3 linked regions of the Xenopus tropicalis genome follow. The protein of the gene in region 1 purifies or fractionates together with the protein of each later gene. This does not show direct contact. Links are inferred from orthologs where the notes say so. Each region holds a gene or a part of one and is shown in the gene's direction. Other genes may lie near its edges.

Evidence for each region.
Region 2: the proteins of smarca4 (region 1) and rb1 purify together in Homo sapiens (affinity purification with western blotting; 7 studies listed by BioGRID, with this or other methods). This does not show direct contact. The link is inferred for Xenopus tropicalis from reciprocal best matches to the Homo sapiens genes SMARCA4 and RB1.
Region 3: the proteins of smarca4 (region 1) and dpf2 purify together in Homo sapiens (affinity purification with mass spectrometry; 13 studies listed by BioGRID and IntAct, counting the BioPlex papers as one, with this or other methods). This does not show direct contact. The link is inferred for Xenopus tropicalis from reciprocal best matches to the Homo sapiens genes SMARCA4 and DPF2.

What each region holds. Positions count from the first base shown.
Region 1 is NC_030679.2:138,912,839-138,916,841, forward strand, and holds the start of smarca4 (transcription activator BRG1), read left to right. Parts: upstream 1-1,203; 5' UTR 1,204-1,316; intron 1,317-4,003. UniProt on the Homo sapiens protein: ATPase involved in transcriptional activation and repression of select genes by chromatin remodeling (alteration of DNA-nucleosome topology).
Region 2 is NC_030678.2:134,932,316-134,935,815, forward strand, and holds part of rb1 (retinoblastoma-associated protein), read left to right. Parts: intron 1-49; coding exon 50-167; intron 168-1,961; coding exon 1,962-2,074; intron 2,075-2,242; coding exon 2,243-2,377; intron 2,378-3,500. UniProt on the Homo sapiens protein: Tumor suppressor that is a key regulator of the G1/S transition of the cell cycle. The hypophosphorylated form binds transcription regulators of the E2F family, preventing transcription of E2F-responsive genes.
Region 3 is NC_030680.2:32,338,331-32,341,830, reverse strand, and holds part of dpf2 (zinc finger protein ubi-d4), read left to right. Parts: intron 1-795; coding exon 796-956; intron 957-1,916; coding exon 1,917-2,024; intron 2,025-2,906; coding exon 2,907-3,067; coding exon of another isoform or gene 3,068-3,118; intron 3,119-3,500. UniProt on the Homo sapiens protein: Plays an active role in transcriptional regulation by binding modified histones H3 and H4. Is a negative regulator of myeloid differentiation of hematopoietic progenitor cells. Might also have a role in the development and maturation of lymphoid cells.

The sequences.
Region 1 (4,003 bases):
TTAAACCAATGAAACATAAAGCAACACATGATTACTTTTTATTGAACCACATAGTCCCACAAAAGATAAACTGAAGCCAGTCAAATTGCATCTTAGGTACTGAAATGATAGTTTACAACAGTGCACCAGAAAGGAACTCTAACGCTCTGTTTTCACTCTTAAATATGGACCTTTCTGGCGATGTACTGAGTTATATTCCTTTTTTTTGTAAAGATCTGTAACGACTAGACACTGTTGATGGGATGGAGCAAATTCATCATCTCACACTCAATTTCCTTTGATGTCAGGTACATGGTTGCTGTGATCATGTGACCTATTCTGAAATGACACAATGACCTCCGTTAGCCAAATCCTTATAAAAAATGGCTAATCGCTTGCTTTGTATATCTCAGACAAAAGCGTGCCATTATTCTAATTGCTAGTAAAAGTCATATAAGACATAATTTGTATATCTTAATCCACTAATTGGTCAATATAACATCCCTTGAGTATTTTTGGTTTGTCAATCTGAATAAGGGTAATTTACACAAATTATGGCCATCCAATCTGCAGGCCCAGCCATGAGGTATATGATTTCTATATTATAGAAGACTCGTGAAAATCCTGCAAATTATACCTTTATAAGGTGTGCTTACTGATGTCATCAATTTGAATTGGTTCTTAGTGATGTAATTTGTGTCACATGATTAGGGTGGCCACCTTTCCCTTGTGCTTTCTATATATTTATCTTACTTTGCTGTCAATAACATTGGCATCATTTTTACTGGCCAGAATATTATAATATCATTGAATTGCTTGGTGACAAGTCCTTATATTTTACAATATAGGGTGCATGATTGACTATATTTCTAACAAGCCTTACACAGTGTTATTCATCATTTTCTCGTTTATCTTTATTGCACCCCACGCAAAAACTCATGTTCCTAAATAATAAGGGCCTTTTTGGAGCCCACTACAAGCAACAGCAAATATAAAGACAACATGATAGCCTAAGTACAGCATATTCTTGTGGGAAAAGCCGCGGAATATTACTGGAAGAAGAAGGCATAGGAGAGCGTGTGTGGGGAGGGTGGGGGTGTTCCCTTATCAAACATGTCTGTCCTTCCCCTGATGTCTCCATGGCAACGCTCCCGGCTCAGAGCCCCACTCCAGTCTATCAGGCGACGCAATGACGTAACGCGCACGCTGCGTGCTAGGCAGCTAAAAGAAAGGGGGAGGGGTGAGCAGAGAAATTGAGCCGAGGTAGCGGCGGGAACGACCCGGTGTTCCCGGTGATAGTTGGAGAGAGACGGCTGAAGGATTTGGGGGCAAGTTAGGTAAGGAAAGGGGCGGGTAAGGCGTTTGTCCGGCTGCCTCTCATGCTGCTGGTGTCCGGCGGGGGGAGCCTGGGCATCTATTGAATGAAGTGGGCGGGGAATGGGAGGTACAGAAGGGACAAAGGGGCCTGATAGCAGCGAGGAGCAGAAGGTATTGGGGTGCCTGGGGAGAGTGGGCAATAAGAGAGGTGGGTTGTGGGCAAGGGTGGGAGAGGGGCATGATGGGATGTGGCGGAGAGGTACCGTGTGGGAGGGGAGGGCGCCGGGAGAAGGATACAGGGCGAGTGAGTGGGAGGAGGGGATAGAGGGAAAGTTTCATGGGCTACAAGTGACTGGGACTGGGAAAGTGATGGGAGAGGGTGGGTGCCACTGGGGTTGGGCGGTGGGGCACTAATGTGTGAGTGGGGGGGCCGGGGTGCGAGAGTGGGGGGCACACAGGGGTGCCAGTGTTAATTCGGGTAATGGGGTCACTAAGGGGTGGGTTCTGCAGAGCAGGGAGACCTGGGGGGCTGTGTTTAGGGCAGCTGGGAGTGTGGGGTAGGAGAGGGGCACAGGGCAGCTGGGGAGTGTGTGGGGTAGGAGAGGGGCACAGGGCAGCTGGGGAGTGTGTGGGGTAGGAGAGGGGCACAGGGCAGCTGGGGGAACGTGGGGCACAGGGCCGCTGGGGGAGCGTGGGACTGATGGGGGGCACAGTGGCGCTGGGGAGCGTGTGAGTGATGGGGGCACAGTGGCGCTGGGGAGCGTGGGAAGTGATGGGGGGGGGCACAGTGGCGCTGGGGAGTGATGGGGGCACAGTGGCGCTGGGGAGCGTGGGAGTGATGGGGGGGGCACAGTGGCGCTGGGAGCGTGGAGTGATGGGGGGCACCAGTGGCGCTGGGGAGCGTGGGAGTGATGGGGGCACAGTGGCGCTGGGGGAGCGTGGGAGTGATGGGGGGGCACAGTGGCGCTGGGAGCGTGGGAGTGATGGGGGGGCACAGTGGCGCTGGGGAGCGTGGGAGTGATGGGGGGGGCACAGTGGCGCTGGGGAGCGTGGGAGTGATGGGGGGGCACAGTGGCGCTGGGGAGCGTGGGAGTGATGGGGGGGCACAGTGGCGCTGGGGAGCGTGGGAGTGATGGGGGCACAGTGGCGCTGGGAGCGTGGAGTGATGGGGCACAGTGGCGCTGGGGAGCGTGGGAGTGATGGGGGGCACAGTGGCGCTGGGGAGCGTGGGAGTGATGGGGGGGCACAGTGGCGCTGGGGAGCGTGGGAGTGATGGGGGGGGCACAGTGGCGCTGGGGAGCGTGGGAGTGATGGGGGGCACAGTGGCGCTGGGGAGCGTGGGAGTGATGGGGGGGCACAGTGGCGCTGGGGAGCGTGGGAGTGATGGGGGGCACAGTGGCGCTGGGGAGCGTGGGAGTGATGGGGGGGCACAGTGGCGCTGGGGAGCGTGGGAGTGATGGGGGGCACAGTGGCGCTGGGAGCGTGGGAGTGGATGGGGGGGCACAGTGGCGCTGGGGAGCGTGGGAGTGATGAGGGGCACAGTGGCGCTGGGGAGCGTGGGAGTGATGGGGGGGCACAGTGGCGCTGGGGAGCGTGGGAGTGATGAGGGGGCACAGTGGCGCTGGGGAGCGTGGGAAGTGATGGGGGGCACAGTGCCGCTGGGGAGCGTGGGAGTGATGGGGGGCACAGGGCTGTTGGTGAGAATTTGAATGGGCTGGTCCCACTGGTGACTGGAGAGCACACAAGTGGGTGTGAGGAAAAGGAGGCAGACAGTACATAAAGATGTTGGTGTATTTTGGGGAGAATGATACTGGTAATTGTTGGGATGTACCACATCCGAGACGTTCTGAAGTTGCCTTGCATGGAAACTTTGGGCGACTTTGGAAAACTGAAGAGGCGCGTATGGCATCCCCTCGGCCATTTACATTCTTTAGAGTGGGATGGCATGTCGGGGAGACTAGTCGCCCGCAATAACGAAGATTTATCACAGGCGACTAATCTCCCCTTGTGCCACTGCCCTTAGGGAGTTACTAGTAGCAGCTACTTGTCATGGCTACAGAAACTACTAATGCTGATCGTTTACTGATAATTGTCACTACGTGTGTCTTACCAGAGGCGAATCTCAGTATTGTCTATGGCAGAGGATATTCTGAATTTTAGTAGCAGCGGCAAATAGTTGCTACTAAGTAGCTCCCTGTGTCTTCACCCTCATATCATACAGAATAAAAATGCCTAAAGGTGGCCATATGCGGGCGATTCTAGCTGCCGATATCTGTCCCTTAGACCGATACGGCAGCTTACCAACCTGTGTATGGGCACTAACAACGGGCCTGCCCGACCCACATCTGGCCTGAAATCTAAAAAACAGATCTTGATCGGTTTGATTTTGTCGGATTGGGGGCTGCATAGTTGATTAGTTCCCCAAACCGATGGATGCCTATACCAGTTGTTCTAATTCAATCGGTTTGCCCTGGGGCCAAACGACTGAATTAGGCCGATATCGCCAAGGTAGGTGGGGATATCGGGAGAAGATCTGCTCGCTTGGCGAGGTCACCAAACAAGCGGATCTTAGTGTCTATGGCCGCCTTAAGGATGAAGACACACGGAGCTACTTAGTAGCAGCTACTTGTCACAGCTACTAAACGCCAGATAATACCCTGCCATAGACAATACTGAGAACTGCCTCTGCTAAAACACACGTAGAGAC
Region 2 (3,500 bases), on another chromosome or scaffold:
AATGTGAGTTCCCTCTTACATTCACACACATTCTTATTACATCTTTCAGGCCTGATTTTCAAGATCCAGACTTTAATGTTTTGTGTGAAACTTTGAAGATTTCTAACAATGTTAGAGATAAAGCTTGGAAGACATATGAGAAAATATTTTCCTCCGGCTATATGATGGTAAGTATTATTAATATGATTGTGTATGAGATCTAACTTCTAGTAATGAAAGCTTATGATCTGTATGACAGATCTTTTTTGACAGTAATTTAGCTTTGCATGTAGCACATCTGGGCAGTCTGTTGCACCAGTTCTGATGGGGTCATGCTGAAGAATTTTTGGGTGATAGGTGCACATATTGACACATTTAAACATCTTTAATACTGGACTATCCATCTAATTATGGACACATTTGTCTGGTGGTTTAATAGTGCTGGAAAGTTACCTGTCTGTCCTAGTCATTTACCCAAGCTGCAAATTTGCTTAAATGTTGAAACCAAACTACCCACTGACTCCTTTAGCATCTCAACAGGTTTTAGGTGGTAAGATTTTCAATTTTTTTAAAGGGATACCAGAGTTTTATGGTGTAGATTATAATACAGGTATGGGACCTGTTATCCAGAATGCTCAGGATCTGGGGTGTTCCAGATAAGGGATCTTTCTGTAATTTGGTTCTGCGTACTACAAAATCATTTATGTATTAATTAAACTCAATAGGTTTGTTTTGCTTACTATGTGGATTCATTATACCTTAGTTGGGATCAGGTATAAGATACCTTTTTTCACAGACCAATACATTTTTTTTTTTCTGTTTAAATAATGGTGTGTAGTCAGCTTTCTCAGTTCATTATGCATGATGTAGTACTTTCAGAAACAGCCAGCAAAGCACAATGCAAGTCCTTTCAGGCAGCTATTGTCTCACCTATTCAGTTCTTGTGTCTCAGCCTTTTTGATCTCCCAGTTGATTACAGCTCAGTTTTTGTCTTTTATTGTGCACTTCGCTGTTATAGTATCCCTTTAGGGCTATGGCACATAGGGAGATTAGTCATTTACGGTTAAATCTCAACTATCACAGGTGACTAATCTCCCAGAAATACCTTCCCACCAGCAATAAATTGATTGCCGACAGGAGGCCATATGCGGCTCTTTGTATTCTGAAATTTTGTGCTAAAAGGACTTTTGGTATGGTATATGTTTTTGAACTTTGGATGAATTTAATATTGTGTTGTGCACCAAATAAGGGGATGCAAATATAAGGAACTACATTAGACTGAAGCAAAAAAACATAGTAGAGATACTGCCCATCTGAAAAATACATCACTGGTCCACCCCTAAACATTTGTTTTGCCCCATACGTCACATGCTCCACCCCCTTTCAAGACCGTCAGCCAATAAAATGTGGCAACCCTACAAACAGGTTTAATTATTTTATGTCTGAGATATAAATACTTTATTAGTTTGCTAAAACCTAACATTTTGTCCTATTACAAACAAGCCATCCATGCTGTGTGTCAGTAGTGCCTCATGCTGAAATCAGCAGGGAAAATCTGTCAGGGACTCACAGCATTAGTGTGTTGGTTGCAGTTTCTGAATCGCCCTATCATTAAAAACCTCACCGAAATCTAGATAAATAATATGAACTGTGCAATTTACTAGAGACAAACATTTCACCAGAATAAATGCACTGTTACAATTACATATTTAGTAGACAATCGAGTGAGGACCTTGCTCAAGACAGCTTACAGTCTAAGAGCTCAGCTGAGCTGAATGCCCATTGATAGTTTTAAACTAAATATCCCAGTAACCGCTAAAAATAAAATTTGTCAGTTGCCTATGGGCTCATAAAAGCCCTTTTGAGTTATGTTACCTAATTTTTTGATTTGTATTTCAAAATATTTATCTGCTTTGTTTAAAAGATAATCCAAGCAATCTCTAAAAATGCTAACTAGAACATACTTTGTTTTATCATATTAGAGAGAAGCCACCAAGAAAACAGAGTTATTGGGTCTTTGCCTTTATATTGCTTCTGTGGACTGTGAGGAAATGACGTTTACATTTACAGAACTGTTAAAAACTTTGACGCTAAGGTAAGTTTTTAGATATGCTAAGTATTTTTAATGTGTGAACTGTAATTGCCTAAGACCTCTGACCAGCAATCTTTTGCTGTATAAGTGGGTATGGATATAGTCATATAATATTCACTTTTTATGTATCCTAAAGTTTTAATGTGTTTTTTTTTCCTTTTTTTATATTAGTGTTAGTAGATGTTTTCGACTTTTGAGAGAAATGGATATCAACATGGATGTTCTCAGTAACAAAGTTGACAATGCAATTTCAAAGTTAAAGAAAAAGTATGAAACCATGTGCCTTTTGTACCAGAAGTTTCAAAGGTAAAAATTATAGTTCCATTTCGGTCTGGTCAAAGAAAGCTCTAATTATGCTTACATGTGTTTTTTCAGCTTCATGCAAAACAAATATTGGCTTTTTGAAGCTTGACCCCCTCATAACTCCATCCCTTGTGTGTGCTGGACAGTGCATGTAAATACAAAATAAATATGCAATATTTCCTTTAAGCTTTAGAAAAACACTTTGTAAAAAAGATTTTAGAAAAGAATACTTGCAAGCACTGCGCACATTTTTAATCATCAGGACTTCTTTTTCTTATGTACTGGGAAACTGTTCATGGTTCATAAGCCACTGTTTGCTACTTATTTTTTCTTTTTTACTGAGGAAAACAATAGCAAGTACATCTCTATTTGAATTCATAAACAAAGCCATTGCAGGAAATGTTTCGTTTTAGAAATTCTTTACAAAATATACATTACTTTCTGTTTCCTGTACATACTGCTTTCACCATAAACTGATATCACATTATGGATGTACAGAATGACATGGATGTTTTCCATTGATGGCATATCTTATAGTTAAAGTGGATTTCATAGGAGTGACGGCACTCACAGGAACTGTGAAATTCCCAGTATGGGACTGAAACGTTGGATCTAATAAACCTAAAGTTTTTTCTTTAATTATGGACATGTGTATAAAGTTCCTGTGAGTGCCGTCACTCGTATGAAATACATTTACAATTACCGCACGAGCACCCAGGCATCATCTCAGACTTATGGTGTGCTGCTTACGCTTCTGCATGGATTATAGTTAAAGTGGCATATCTTATGGTCAAATGATTGTTTAATAATAGGATCTTTCATTTGAGGATGAGAAAATCTGACTGTGTACTACCACCTTAAAGGAACAGTAACACCAAAAAATGAAAGAGCTTTAAAGTAATAAAAATATAATGCACTGTTGCCCTGCACTGGTAAAACTGGTGTGTTTGCTACAGTAACACTACTATAATTTATATAATAAGCTGCTGTGTAGCCATGGGGGCTGCCATTCAAACCGGAAAAAAGGAGAAAAGGCACAGGTTACATAGCAGATAACAGATAAGTTCTGTAGAATACAATAGTGTTTTATATGTTATCTGCTATGTGCCTTTTCTCCTTTGAATGG
Region 3 (3,500 bases), on another chromosome or scaffold:
TTTAGAAAGCCAACATTTATGCAGCTCTGTATCAAAACCTTTTGCCAAAGACCAGTTAGCTCTACTGCAGCCCCACTGTTTTTAATGTATCTGCTACATTAAACAAAACAAGTTAGTTGGTTTGGCACAATCTTTATTTTTTATTTTTTTTTGTTATAAATTATTATTGCCTTTTTCCAGAGCTGGGGTCCCCAACCTTTTTTGCCCTTAAGCCACATTTAAATGGATAAAAAAGTTGTGGAGCAGCACAAGAATGAATAATGTACCTGAGGGTACCAAATAAGGGCTGTGATTATTTGGTAGCCCCTATGTGGACTGGCAGCCTGCAGAAGACTGTCCAGTACACCTGGTTTTTATGCAATCAAAACTTTCCTCTGGGTCAATAATTCAATAATGAGCACCTTCTTTAGGCTATTGGGAGCAACATGTTGCTTCTGAGCCATTGGTTGGGGACCACTGCTCCAGAGCATAATCTTGAGGTGGTCACTTAAGTTTCCCATCAGATCGGGGACTACATTGGCTTGTTAATCCGACGGCCCATATACATATATAATAATTTGATTGTTTGGCCACCTTCACTGTGCTCACACAGAAATGATGGGCCCACATATATATCTAGTGAATGGACAGAGCTCTTTTATTTTGATATGCGTTATCTGTTAAAAATTAATTCTGATGAAATAGTTTTCCATTGATAATTTCAGCACAACCACCACACAGGCTTCCAGTTTAAAGCGAGTGAAGCAATTTGCTCACATCCCATAACTTTACAAATATATATATTTTTTCTTCTAGCCTTGGAGAACAGTATTACAAGGATGCCATGGAGCAGTGCCACAATTATAATGCTCGCCTGTGCGCTGAGCGCAGTGTCCGAATGCCTTTCTTAGACTCTCAAACAGGGGTGGCTCAAAGCAATTGCTACATTTGGATGGAGAAGAGACATCGTGGGCCAGGTAAAATATTATGTCCTGTAAGATTGTATAGCTTCTTAACCTGTCTGTTGCTGGCCCTGCATAGCATAGTGCTGCAAGATCCCTTTTGTACATTCCCATGTGTTTAAGAATTGACAGAAGTTGCAAGCCCCTGTTAATTATGCTTGCAACAAACTCAAGCAGATGGCCTTGATTTAAAATAATAACTGTGACACTTTTCGCAGAGCTGAAACTTAAATGATGACCATGAATGTACTGAGGACCTAGAATCCTTGCAATTCACAAGAAAAGTTTTTCAAGGGTCTTAATGTGTATATGGTTTAGACTTGAAAGTGCTCAGCCCTCAAAGGTATAACAGATTATGTGCTACTGAAAATGTACTTGTGTTATCAAACCATACTAATACCACAGAAATATATGGAATATTTTGAAGTTTATTATCTATGCCCAGGTAATTTCTTACCCTTGCCAGGATTTAGCATTTTAGATTTCAGGGCATTCTTCGGAAACCTACTCCAAACGTTGCTTTTTATGCTTGGACATTAATTTAAGTATCTATTCTGCAGGCACCAGGTTTCAAACCTTCTGTCCCTTAGTTACTAAGGCCCTTAATTAAAAATTGAAGTACTGGAAGTACTGGCTGTGTCATCAGTAAGGAAAGAGCATGTTCATGAGTTGGGCACAATGTCATCTTAGTTTGTGCCCATCTTTAAGTTTAATTTTAGGGGAGGGATACAGAAAAGGAAGAAAGAAGCCTACTTTTTGTATAGAAACACAACTGCAAAAGGAAGTTTTATCCCATACATTCTGTATAAATCCTCTATCAGATGTCTTTACAGAAAAGGGTTAAAGATATGCTGATTTTGATTATTGGTAATTTACTGAGGCTTTACTAAATGATTGCGTTTTTTTTATTCCTCCCCTCCCCCCCAAAAAAGCATTACCTATGTTTTGGTAAATTATTTTATTTTGGTTTTTAAGGTTCTGCACCAGGGCAACTTTATACATATCCATCTCGACGCTGGCGCAAAAAGAGAAGGGCACATCCCCCTGAAGATCCCAGGCTCTCTTTCCCATCTCTCAAACCAGGTAAAAGGGGGCAGGCTTTTCTGAGCCCAACATCACTGAAATCAAAACACTGCACTTAAGGGCTAGTGAGTTTTTTTTTCTTTTTGTCTTGTAAATACACTTTCCATACACAAAGCAAAAAAGGCATTTGTTGAGAATAGCAACACAGGGCCAGCCTGGAATATAGTTACAGTTCATTTTGTTAGTCATAGCCTTGTTGGCTTAAAACAAAGCGAAACAGCACACTTCTTCCACACCAATATTTTCAATTATTCAGTGCAAATTTCAACAGTAATCACGTGTTACAATATTTACCAAGTCCAAGTTTAGCCTTGTTTGCTTTACATAGCTAAACCTGCAGAATATTAATTGACTGTGCTAGAGGACATAGAAAATCAGTATAGTTCTTTGGTTCTTGTCAAGTAGCAGTAGGGCCTTGTTTCATGGCTTAATGGGAATTTCATTTTATTTTCATGTTTTGATATAATCGTGATGAACATTTTGGAACAAATATTTGTATACCTAATCTTTCATGAGATATATGAAAGAGGTGTCTGTAAAACAATTGGCAGGTCAAACCTTTGTTTTTTCCCCTTACATTGAAAATGTTAGGCAATAAAAAAGGCATTATTATATTTTGCAGACTTTAGATTTGTGGTAATTTTTAGTAAGAAAACCAACAGTCTTCCGATGTGTAAGATATATTTAGAGCAAATACAATTTCTTTTTAGAATAGCAGAACATTTATTAGACTATTTTCACTTTACCTCGACAATGGATGCACTATTAAAAAATGTTGAATGTGCATGATAAACAATGTCCATTGATTTTTGGTAATTTAGAGGAATCCAATGGAAAAAAGAATATATCTTTATCAAAACTTAAGGTTATTGTGCATTTCAGACCCCGAACAGATGTTAAAGAAAGAGGGCTTAATACCACCAGATGGCAGTAGCCTTGAAGCTCTTCTGCGTTCAGACCCCATTGAGAAGAGAATTATGCCAGACCCCCGGGATGATGACAGCCTTACGGAGTTCCCTCCTCTTTCCAGAAGCGCACGGAAGGTACAGGCCTACGGCGAGCGGCAGCGCTACGTAGCAAAAGGGATAATCACGGTAAAGACAGCGAGGCAGCATGAAGCCTGGGGGAATAGACAGCAGCATTAGTCTAATGTTCGCTATATCAGTTTCTGTGAGTTGCCTGTTTGGGAGGAAAACAGCATATGAATAATTTTCATTCTGCTTGCATAAACTAGTCTTTCTTGTTTGCTGATTTTTACTTACTAAATGATCCTTTACTAATGCTCATTGCACTGCTGTAAACATATCCTATGTGAAAACCTCCCCACAAAAGGTCACAATACAACTTGCTACGAAGTAGAGCAGGAAGGAGTATTCCGTAAATAATCACCTGAAGTTTTAGACTTACAGAAAGGGTTGTAATAATAATTTTCTCTTTTAAATATATACTGTGTGACATTTTCCTGTGATATTAGAT